3 linked regions of the Danio rerio genome follow. The protein of the gene in region 3 interacts with the protein of the main gene of each other region in a biochemical or structural test. Links are inferred from orthologs where the notes say so. Each region holds a gene or a part of one and is shown on either strand. Other genes may lie near its edges.

The links.
Region 1: the proteins of lcp2a (region 3) and nck1b form a complex in vitro, tested with the Homo sapiens proteins (2 studies listed by BioGRID and IntAct, with this or other methods). The link is inferred for Danio rerio from reciprocal best matches to the Homo sapiens genes LCP2 and NCK1.
Region 2: the proteins of lcp2a (region 3) and itk form a complex in vitro, tested with the Homo sapiens proteins (2 studies listed by BioGRID, with this or other methods). The link is inferred for Danio rerio from reciprocal best matches to the Homo sapiens genes LCP2 and ITK.

The regions. Positions count from the first base shown.
Region 1 is NC_133199.1:3,692,747-3,696,893, forward strand, and holds the start of nck1b (SH2/SH3 adapter protein Nck1), read right to left. Parts: upstream 2,908-4,147; 5' UTR 2,870-2,907; intron 1,705-2,869; coding exon of another isoform or gene 1,628-1,704; intron 88-1,627; coding exon of another isoform or gene 43-87; intron 1-42. Other genes in the region: wdr37 (WD repeat-containing protein 37), read left to right, coding at 43-87, 1,628-1,704, 2,908-3,142, 3,743-3,884. UniProt on the Homo sapiens protein: Adapter protein which associates with tyrosine-phosphorylated growth factor receptors, such as KDR and PDGFRB, or their cellular substrates. Maintains low levels of EIF2S1 phosphorylation by promoting its dephosphorylation by PP1.
Region 2 is NC_133189.1:38,626,386-38,630,040, forward strand, and holds part of itk (tyrosine-protein kinase ITK/TSK), read right to left. Parts: coding exon 3,621-3,655; intron 3,428-3,620; coding exon 3,353-3,427; intron 1,257-3,352; coding exon 1,088-1,256; intron 1,003-1,087; coding exon 786-1,002; intron 701-785; coding exon 636-700; intron 1-635. UniProt on the Homo sapiens protein: Tyrosine kinase that plays an essential role in regulation of the adaptive immune response. Regulates the development, function and differentiation of conventional T-cells and nonconventional NKT-cells.
Region 3 is NC_133196.1:32,961,791-32,966,015, reverse strand, and holds the start of lcp2a (lymphocyte cytosolic protein 2a), read right to left. Parts: upstream 2,860-4,225; 5' UTR 2,575-2,859; coding exon 2,497-2,574; intron 1-2,496. UniProt on the Homo sapiens protein: Adapter protein primarily involved in signaling pathways within T-cells, as well as other immune cells such as platelets, mast cells, and natural killer (NK) cells.

The sequences.
Region 1 (4,147 bases), on a different chromosome or scaffold from region 3:
TGATTGTTGTGTACAGTGAATGTTTACGGTCTGTTTTTGCAGTGAACTCCATTAAGTTCCATCCCACAGAGCAGATGGCGCTTACAGGTATACACAAAAACTTTTTAATGGTTTGCTTTTTTTTACACAATGTCTTATATTTCTGTGTCTTGTTTATTAATATATGTTGGTGAAAAACGAATCAATATGTATTTTTATTAAAATGATCAATTGACAATAACAATTTCCACAGTATAGAATATATAATCCAGCAACTGGATTGTAAAGAACGCCTATTTCATTTATATCACAGATCAGTAATATTCGTCTGTCTATCTGTAAATGGTTAAAATTGAAGGAGAAGAATATGCTTAAATCTAATGAAATAAAAATGTCGGATTTTTAATTCAGAAAAATCTCAATTGTCTGAATTTTAAATTAAGATTTTTAAAATATTTTTAAAAATAAATGCAACTTAATTTCTATAATTTCGCTGGTTTAAATCCAAGCTCAGTTGCCATTTCTGCGTGGAGTTTGCATGTTCTCCCCGTGTTCTTCAGGTGCTCTGGTGTTCCCCACAGTCCAAACTAGAGATCTGCGCAGCACTAAATTTTGAATCCCGCTCCCGCCAGGTTTTAGCCCTAACCCGACCGCTCCCGCTTATATTTAGCATTTGTTGTCCCTCTGCCCAACCCGCCCCGTTTTCTACCCGTTGCGCCCATTTTCGCTAACGGACGAGGGGGAGAACAAAAGCGAAAACCCCCCAGCTATACAGAGTCCAGACAGCCTATAACAAACTATAACACACACACAAGCACCAAGCAAGTGACACACACACAGACAGCATCACGCTCTTTCTCTCATTCACGCATTCACGCATAAACACACACACAGCACAAAGCTCTCTCTTTCATATACACACACACACACACACACACACACACACACACACACACACACACAGCAAGAAACAAGCTAAGCGCAGCATCAGGCTGTCTCATTCACACACATACATACATACGCGTGCTTGCTCGCTCAGGAGTCAGGAGTGATATTGTTAGACCGCGAGCTTCTGTACAAAATTAAACCAGTTACCGACCGCTCCTGCGCTTCTTTCGGAAATTTATCTCCGCACCGCAAGAAATCTAGTCGGCCGTAGTGTACGAGTGTGAATGCGAGTGTATGGGTGTTTCCCAGTACTGGGTTGCGGCTGAAAAGGCATCAGCTGTGTAAAACATGCTGGATAAGTTGGCGGTTCATTCCACTGTGGCGACCCCTAATGAATAAAGGGACTAAGCCGAAGTGAAATAAATGAATAAATAATAATAACAAATGTTATAAAAATATTGTGAAAATGCCTTTGCTGTGTTGAACGGTGCTCGGGATAGATTTAAAAACATATTACAATTTCACAAGAGAGCTTTTAATATTGCCTTCAACTGTGTGTGATTGTCTGCTGATCTCTCATGATGCTGCTAATGAGGAGTTATTTCATGACTGAGGGCTGTACTGCATTAAGACTGAGATGTTTCTCTCTTTCATATAGATTTGTATTTCCCAGATGCTTTTAAATGTGATTTGATCAATGGCTGTGCTTTTTTCTTTTTGCTAATGTTGCCTCTGTGTTTGTTTTGTCTGTTCCTGACAGCGTCCGGGGACCAGACGGCTCACATCTGGCGTTACATGGTACAACTGCCACTTCCACAGCCTCCAGCAGACATCAGCGTGAGTATTAAACACACACGCACACACAAACACCCACAGAGACATGCGTACACACACGCGCATGCAGACGCAGACAGATACACTTAGACGCATATGACACACGTGTACAGACAAACATACACACAAAGGCAGACAGATGCGTACACAAATGCATACAGTACACACAAACGCAGTACACACAAACTAATTAGTTAACAGTAAGTGTAATATTAGTAATAATAAATATACAATTTAGTAATACTAAAATGTTCTGTGTAATAAAACGAAACAGGTAAAAAGTATTGAACACATGAAGGGAGGTGTGGAAATGCATGGAAAGCCCAGACAGCAGCTGAAATCTCTCAGTAGTTCTTCAGTAACCCTCTGCTTTTCCTCAGTGTAAATGAATATCAGCTGCTTCAGTCCAACATCTACATTAGCAGGATGATGGAGATGAAACCAGGGTGGACATTTCAGCAAAACAATGATCCATAACCAAGTAGACTTTCAAATGCTTTCAGAGAAAGAAAATCAAGCTGTAGAATGGCCCAGCCAATCATCTGACCTAAATCCAATACAGAATCTCAGATTTGATAGACGAGACCCACAGAACCATTCATTCATTTTCTTGTCGGCTTAGTCCCTTTATAAATCCGGGGTCGCCACAGCGGAATGAACCGCCAACTTATCCAGCAAGTTTTTACGCAGTGGATGCCCTTCCAGCCGCAACCCATTCCTGGGAAACATCCACACACACTCATACACTACGGAAAATTTAGCCTACCCAATTCACCTGTACCACATATCTTTGGACTGTGGGGGAAACCGGAGCACCCGGAGGAAACCCACACGAACGCAGGCAGAACATGCAAACTCCACACAGAAACGCCTACTGAGCCGAGGCTGGAACCAGCGACCTTCTTGCTGTGAGGCGACAGCACTACCTACTGCGCCACTGCTTCACCCACCCACAGAACCATATGTATAATATTGTGAAGCATCCTATAGAAAATAATATGAATGTAAAAGCGAGATCTGTAAAGGGTGTACTCATTTATCCTGTGCACTGTAAACCCTTTAATTATAGAAAAGTGTTTTATTTTTTATGAAATGTTTGTCAATTTGATCAGTTTTTCTGGTCATAATAACAGCTGGAGATGCTGAAATGGTAATGAAATCAAATTACCTCAAACATTTGCTCTTGTCATTTCCTGTGCGACTCAGGCCTCGCTGGACGATGACGTGGATTTCTCTGATAAAGACGAGGCAGACGGCGACGCTGATGGACCCAATGAATGCCCCACCATCCGCGTGGCCACAACCACCTTGAAGAGCCACCAAGGCGTGGTGATCGCCGCTGATTGGCTGGTGGGAGGAAAGCAGGTGGTCACTGCGTCCTGGGACAGAGCCGCAAACCTGTACGATGTGGAGACCTCGGAGCTGGTGCACACCCTGACAGGTGAACATGAGGAGAAATAAATCAACATTTACTAATGTGTTTAAGGAGAGTTATTATGGATATTTTAATTCATTCATTCATTTTTCTTTGGCTTAGTCCCTTATTTATCAGGGGTCGCCACAGTGGAATGAACCACCAACTATTCCAGCATATGTTTTACACAGTGTATGTCCTTCCAGCTGTAACACCCATACACACTCATACACACATTTTAGTTCACCAATTCCCCTATAGCGTATGTGTTTGAACTGTGGGGGAAACCGGAGCACCCAGAGGAAACCCATGCCAACATGGGGAGAACATGCAAACTTCACACAGAAATTCTAACTGACCCAGCCGGGACTCAAACCAGTGATCTTGCTGTGAGGCGACCACTGAGCCACCAGTTTTTAATATTTGTTGTTTTTTATTTCTTATACTCGTTTCTTTTATTCTTGTTCATGTAAACCACTTTGAATTACCATTGTGTGTGAAATGTGCAATATAAATAAAGTTGCCTTGTTTATTATTTGTTAAACCCTCAACTACAACTCAGTTGTATTGTATCAACCTCTACCCCAGCTCTAACCCTCACCATTACCTGTTTGTGTGTGTTTGCAGGTCACGATCAGGAGTTGACCCACTGCTGCACTCATCCGACTCAGCGTCTGGTGGTCACTTCATCCAGAGACACCACCTTCCGCCTGTGGGACTTCAGAGATCCCTCCATCCACTCAGTCAATGTCTTCCAGGGCCACACCGAGTGAGTCACATCATCTTATTGACCGTCGACATATAAACAACCTGCCAAAATGAACATTTGGTGTCACTTTAAATTACTGTATGCTTGTAAAATATTAATATTAGAGTAAATTAAAGTGCTTTTTATAGAAATAATATGGTATAATATTTTTTAATATGACATAATAATATAATAACAACAACAATAATAAATATTATTATTATATTTTAATAAATATTATATATTTATTAAATAAATACATATTTTTGTATTAGACCATAGAT
Region 2 (3,655 bases), on a different chromosome or scaffold from region 3:
CCTTAAATACTCATAAAATACTCCTGTGTTTAAACTGTTCACATTGATGTTAACAGAACCCTTTTCTATTGTTACTCAGTGTAAACGCACTTGACAGACGTGCATAAGGAGTTCATGAGTAGTTAAGAATGGGTTAATGATGATGTGCCACTCCAAGTAAAGTCATAATTATAAATTAACATATAAAGAATTCTTGATGGTTGAGTTAAGCATAAACTAATGTGGTAATTAATACAGTACATTAATAAACAATCATGTACAAACAAGTAATTAAGGAAGCTGTTATTCACACATGAACTCATGTGCTCATGTTGTAGTTAAAGTTAGTTCATAATCAGTGCACACATTAATTAATCATTAGTTCATAATAAAGTAATGCTTAGTTTACATATTAAAATATCATTATTTCTGTACTGTTATTGTGAAGTGTTACAAGTAAATTTATTTGATTTGTGTTTGGACAACATAAATGAATTGTGTAGAACTCAACTTAATTTTTTTTTTTACAATGTAGAGATGTTGCTATATAATTCAATTAAAGAGTTGACTGTTTAACTTTGCAAAAAAATTGGTTGAAATAATTATTTAACTGAACTAAAAATTGATCTCGGTCATTTTCACGCACTGCTACTCACCTTGTCATTCCAAAATCTGCTATCTTCACCACACTATTTTCAGAAACCAAACAGTTTCTCGCAGCCTATTAAACAGAAGAATGTAAGAACAACTGCACAAATGTTTGCAAGAAACTGACTAACCAAACTCCCTGTTTATAGCCTACTTACCAAGTCCCTGTGGATGAAGTTAGAGCTTTCAAGGTAGGCCATTCCTTCACTTACGTCCAAACACATCTCCAGCAGAGCCTTTTGGGAAAGTTTGCCTTTTTTAGCCCGCAAGAACTCCGTAAGGCAACCGTTTTCCATGAATTCGAATACCAGGTATATGGGTGAACGCTGAGTGACCACACCATACAACTGCACCAGCCTATTGTGGGATAGTTTCCTGTGGAGAAAGACAATGAGTGAGCAATAAATTCACATTTTTTATTCCTCATTTTTTGAGGTGTACATAAACTGCAGTTGCTTACATCATAACTTGTGCTTCTTCTTTGAATTCCTCCTCTGACATAAATCCCTCACGAACCGTCTTAACTGCCACCTCCATGTCTTGCCAACTTCCCTTCCACACCAAGCCAAACTGCCCACTGCCCAGTTCCACACTTAATTTCACTTCATCAGGGTGAATCTCCCACTTATCTGTAACAAAAAAGGAAACAAACTAGCTTGTACATTAATAAAACAATAGGTGATCATACAAAATTGTATTTGCAGACAAATGAGTAGTTGTAAGAGGGACTGTGACTTAATATTTAGATTTATAATTAATATTTTTGACAACAATGTGATCTTTTTAATAGTTTTGTTTTAAATATGCCTGATAATATGATAAATAATATGATAAATATGCCTTTGTGATAGTTGTTTATGAATCACTTGGTTGTTTTGAACAGTTAAACTGACTGCTGCTCTTCAGTAAATTCTCCATCTCCCTCAGATTCTTGAGTTTTTCAGCATCTTCAGCAGATTGAACTCTTTCCGGCAGTAGCTGTGTGATTGTGAGACCCATTTTTTCTCTCAGTGGATGATTGAGAGACTCAAACACTACTGTTAAAAAAGTTACTGATGCTTCAGAAGGAAAAACAAGGCATTAAGAGCAAAGGAGTGAAAACTTTTAGAATCTGAAGATCAATTTAAATTGTGTTCCAGGATGAATATAAGTCGTTTCTGCTATTTTCCAACTAAATGGCAGTACTAAATGGAAAAAAATGAGTCAAAATAAGAAATATTTGGATCTTCGTCCTGTTTAAAGGTTTTCAATCCTCAGCTCTTAATGCCTCCTGTTTCCTTCTCCATCAGTAAGCATTTACACTACCTGACAAAAAGTCTTGTCGTTGATATCAGTTGTAAAAGCAACAAATAATAACTTGACATCTAGTTGATCATTTGGCAAGTGTTAGAAGGTAGATTTTTCTGATGAATCATCTGTTGACCTGCATCCTAATCATCAGAAATACAACAGAAGACCTATTGGAACCCACATGGACTCAAACTTCTCACAGAAATCAGTCAAGTTTCATTCCACATCAAAGTTCCTGAAAGCAGGTCAAGGTGCTCCATGATTGGCCAGCTTAGTCACCAGACATGAACATTATTGAGTATGTCTGGGGTAAGATGGAGGAGGCATTGAAGATTAATCCAATGAATCTTGATGAACAGCAGGAGTCCTGCAAGAACACTTTCTTTGCCATTCCAAATGACTTTATTAATAAGTTATTTGTGTCATTGCAGTGATGTATGGATGCAGTCGCTCAAGCTTATGGGTGTCAAGCACAATATTAACTCTTTTTCCACTGCACCAGGACTTTATATTTTATAGTGTACATTATTTCTGTTAAGTGACAAGACTTTTGTCTCAGCAAAGTCAGACCTTACTGTCCTAATTAAATAATTAAAAATCAAGACATGATGATTTATTTGGGCAAAATAAGCGAAATCTAGAGGCCTTTTTCTTTTATATAAGCCACTTCTGATACCAAATGACCAACTAGAAGTCAGTTTATCATTTGTTGCTCCTAAAACTTATAGTATAGGATAGCCAACAAGACTTTTGTCAGGTGGTGTAAACCTTTTTTTTTAAACATTGAGTCCCTCAATCATCCTCCGAGTGAAAAGATAAATCTCACAATCATACATTGGATGCTGCAAAACTAAAGAATCTGCAGGAAATCTGAAGATCAGCAGTCAGTTTAACTGTTCAGAACAAACAAGAGACTCGTGAACAACCATCACAAAGCACTCATAGATCATCAGGAAATCACAGAGTATTTAAACGGAAGGATATGTAAACTTTTGGAGGGGGGCTATTTGAATAATTTTGTAAAATATTTGTCTAGTGAACTATGTAAACATATTTTATGTAATATATCTTAATTTGAATTATACTAAATAAAAAACAACAAGCATTCTGTATTATCACTCTAATTTCATTAAATTTCATTTAACAAATTCTGTAACAAATAATTTGGGAAAACTGTTTTAATGCTTTTAAAAGACGTATGATGTCAAAAAAACGGCAACATTTTAAAAGTTTTTACAAATATTTTATATAACTTGCAGTTATTTATTATTTAAATTTAAAATACATTTATTTAAAATAAAATGTCGAGCTGAATTAAAACATCAAAGCTGAAAACTGTGAAATGTTTCAGGATTCTTTAATAATAATAATAATAATAAAGTTCTGTATGTGTACTGTGCTGTGAAATTGAAAAAAAAAACACAGCCGAGTTTACCTGATGATAACTCCTTGATCCTTGCAGAGTTTGGGACATTTCTAGACACACAGTGCCTCAGTCTGGTGATCAAACCTTTCACAAAAACAAGGAAACAAGGCACAAGGAAAGAGAAGACTCAAATCGACTTTTCTTCTTGTGGTTTAACTGTCATATCTTTATGACAGTTATTTATTATAATGCCTCTAACAAACTATCAGATAATAAAAATCAAATAATAAATGTTATTAGCACGCAATATAAAAGCATCTCTTCATATAGAGTTTACCTGCCGGATTGTGTTGGTGGTAGCGGATGAGCTCT
Region 3 (4,225 bases):
ATTTTAAGAGTCTATGTGCTAAATGTCACATAAATATGCCCAAATGTGCTTAACATCTGTAAATGTATATAAAAAAATATCTACTAAAAATATAAAAAATAAAAATAAGTAATCAAAATATATGTACTGGATATCTATTAGAAAGAAAGTCTATATTTACCAATTGTCTATTAAAGGTCATCATGACCAATAAAAAAAAAACATATGTATGTATTGAATTCCAATAAAAGATTATCTAAAGAAGGTTTAAAAGACCTGTCTAAAAAAAGACAATGTATATGTATTAAATGTCTCTAAAATGCCCTAAATATTTACTGAATATACAGTTGAAGTCAGAATTATTAGCCCCCCTGAACTATTAGCCTCTGTGTTTATTTTTTCCCCAATTTCTTTTTAATGGAGAGAAGACTTTCTCAACACATTTCTAATAATAGTTTTAATAACTTGTTTCTTAAAACTGATTTATTTTATCTCTGCCATGATGACAGTACACAATATTTAGATATTCTTCAAGATACTTCTATACAGCTTAAAGGGACTTTTAAAGGTTTAACTTGGTTAATTAGGTTAACTAGGCAGGTTAGGGTAATTAAAGCAAGTTATTGTATAACAATGGTTTGTTCAGTAGACTATTAAAAATATATATAGCTTAAAGGGGCTAATAATATTGACCTTAAAATGGTTCATAAACAAATAAAAACTGCTTTTATTCTAGCTGAAATAAAACAAATGAGACTTTCTCCAGAGGAAAGAATATTTTCTATTTTTACTGAATGTTTATAAAAGGCCCTATACATTTACTGTATGTGTATGTATTCATTAGTATATATTCATTTAAACAACAGTTCTGTCTGGTTCTTGAATCTGTTTGGCTAATATCCATGCGATATTTTGCCAGTAACATCACACAGAGGCCTCTTCACCCTTCACCTCTGTGTATTACTCCGCCCTTACAGCAAGCAACAAGCAGGCTACAGTTTGACAAATATTACTGTTGTTAGACAACAATATGTACTTTTGAGGCTTTTTTAGTCGAGAATGTAGTTGTTTAGATTGCAACTATGCAGTTTATTTGTAATAATAGTGCCTATTTTAAAATATTTACAATTTTTGAGACCTCGTCAGCAGCCAAAGACGGTTGACGTTGTCTATCTACAAGATGGCGCCAGAACCGCATAATAAGCCCTTTCTCAGTGTGTTCTCTTGAGCGCATATAAAAAGCTGAAAAACTGAAGCCTTATGGTTTTTAAGATGGACCGGATAGAGTTAATAAGAAGCTGCGAATAAGAAGCTGGATTCAGCCTTGTTCCTCCTTATCGCAAACACAACAGCAGTCTGGTGAGAAATCTCTGTAGACTGATGACATTTCATGTCACGTTTAGCCTTATAATCTTAAAATGTGAGCAAAATTTGCTGTTTTGTCATCACCTTAAGTGGGGTCACACACCAGAAGCGCTGCTTCCCATTACGCTATAGAGAATCAATCAAATGCTAGCTCTAAAGTGACGTTGGTGAATTAGTAATGGCTTCTGCTGTTCTGACATCAGCTGCAGATGTGAATGAATGGCGGAAGAAAATAGTTACTAATACAAAAGGGTTTTAGACTCTTGTGTTTGATTTTCGTTTTTATGTACAAGATTTTGTCGTCGAACTGTGCTATAAACGCAAAATCACACGAGTAATGTGCTATGGCTGTATATCAGCACTGGTGGGGCGCTAAGGCACTCGGCCTGCGGCCTTGTGCCAACGCACGCCTCCCACCAGTGCTGATGTACAGCCATAGCACACTACTCGTGTGATTTTGCTTATATATATATGAGATCATATTTACTGAATATATCTATAAGACCATCTATATTTACTGAATGTCTCTAAAAAGCCCTATATATTTATTGAATATATATAAGACCATTAATATTTACTAAATGTCTTTAAAAGACCATATATATATTTATATACTGGATGTCTATAAAAGGGCCAATATATTTACATATATATATATATATATATATATATATATATATATATATATATATATATATATATATATATATATATATATATATATATATATAAAAGACCCTATATATTTACTAAATGTCTCTAAAAGACCAAATATTTACTGAATGTCTCTAAAAGGCCCTATATATTTACTGAATACAGTATTTATAGATCATCTACATTTAGTGAATGCCTATAAAAAGACATACATTTACTGAATTCCATTTTATTGAATCTATATACTTATCGTGTGTGTATAAATCCAACATCCAAAAAATAATGAATAAATGTGGTAAATATCTTTAAAAGCATGCTGTATGTGCTGACCAAGTCGATACAAGCTAAACATCTATGACAGAATATCTGAACTGAACATCTATTAAACAACAACCGATTACACAACAATATTTTTACATTTCAACCCATTTCATTGTACAATTTAATTCTAAAGTTACACAATTGAAAGACACAAAAAGAGAAAGTAACCTACAGTACCTTCTTCAAAAAGTCTGCCAAGCTATGTGAATCCCAGTTCAGAACCTCGGCTTTGGACGGCAAACTTCCAAAACTCATTGTTTTTCACTGATGAATATAAAATCCTAAATGCCTACAAGCATCCAAAAAAAAAAAAAAGCAACCACTCTCAGATTGAGTTCACACTTCGTCTGACACCGAACACGAGGAGACAAACGTGTCAGCTCTAAAAAAACAAACCAAAGAAAGCCAAATAATGACAGAATCACCCAGTTGCCGATCCAGAAATTAAAGAAATTACTCAAAATTCAACCGACATTTTCTGAAAACACGAAAAAACCCAACACCCCGGATTTGCCTGAGCTGAGTATGAAAAGAAAGAATGACATCCACTTCCCCATAGACTTCCTGTTAATGATTGTTTTGACAAATAGGGGAAGTACAGCCCCTTCACAAAAAAAAAAAAATCTTAATATTACATGTGTTCACCAATAAGAGTTTTCCCCTTCAATAACCGCCTGATTGTCACTTATTCATGATATGAAAGGTTGTCTTAACATGCGTACACTGTAAGAAAATAAACTTTTTATTACAACTTTTAATTTTTATTTTATGTTGTTATGTGTAACTCACTAAAATAAGTTAAGCATGTTTCGACTTATTTTTTAAGTCATAAGAGCTGCTTTACATCAATTTAATGCAATGCAAGTTGGCTTGTAAGGTTAATTCAACTCAACGAAACATTTAGAAAAGGACTTTTGCTGTTTGTTTAAACTACTTATTTGAAATGGGTTGAAACGACACAATTCTTAAGGATTTTTTTGTGAAACAACTTAATTGTTTTATGTTCAATCCAGATAAATTTGTACAAACTTTCAAGTTAGCTTGACCGATTTGTGTTGAGACAACATGAAGGAATTGTGTGGAACCCAACATTTTTGAAAGTGAATATTCTGTAACCACTTCTTTTTTTTTTTTTTTTTTTTTTAACAAGGGATCTAAATAAGACTGGAATAAGACATTAATATGTGCTTTATAATAAACAGGCAGTATAGTAATATGAACAATGATAGTAATATAATAACACAGATGGACAATTAAGAACAAATTGTGTGTTTGACATCTTACTAGTCACTTTAAAGAATTAGATGCTGACTTGTTGAATCAAATAAAATTTTCAAGTTGTAAAAATAAGTGCTTGAAAAAAGTGAAAAAAAATATTTTAAAACCATTTTTTATAATTTTTTTTCACATTTTTCAAGTGCTTTGGAGTGACTTTTGCAGTTTCTTCTGATGAATCCCTTACCCAAAGATCACCGACACATTATTTAAGCTACGCCTGAGCACTTTTGGTTTGATTTTAAATTTACAAGTCATTTAAACTTATGTTACAAGAAAGACAACTGACATAAAACATCAATTTGAATCTCAGATAATTGAAATGTTAAAACGTGATTGATTAACGCATTTTGTGTTAAATTAATATAAAAACATGTTTGTTTGTTTACTGTGTAATAGTCTTTTGGTTATAAGCTTAATTTGCTTAAAAATATATAGCTTTTTATTGATGTACACATTTCAACAAAATTTACAAATATATACACAATAGCAAATATATAATAAATATATGTACAGTTAGTTAAGTCAGAATTATTAGCCCCCATTTGATTTTTTTTTTTTTTTTATATTTCCCAAATAATGTTTAACAGAGCAAGGAAATTTTCACAGTATGTCTGATAATATTTGTTCT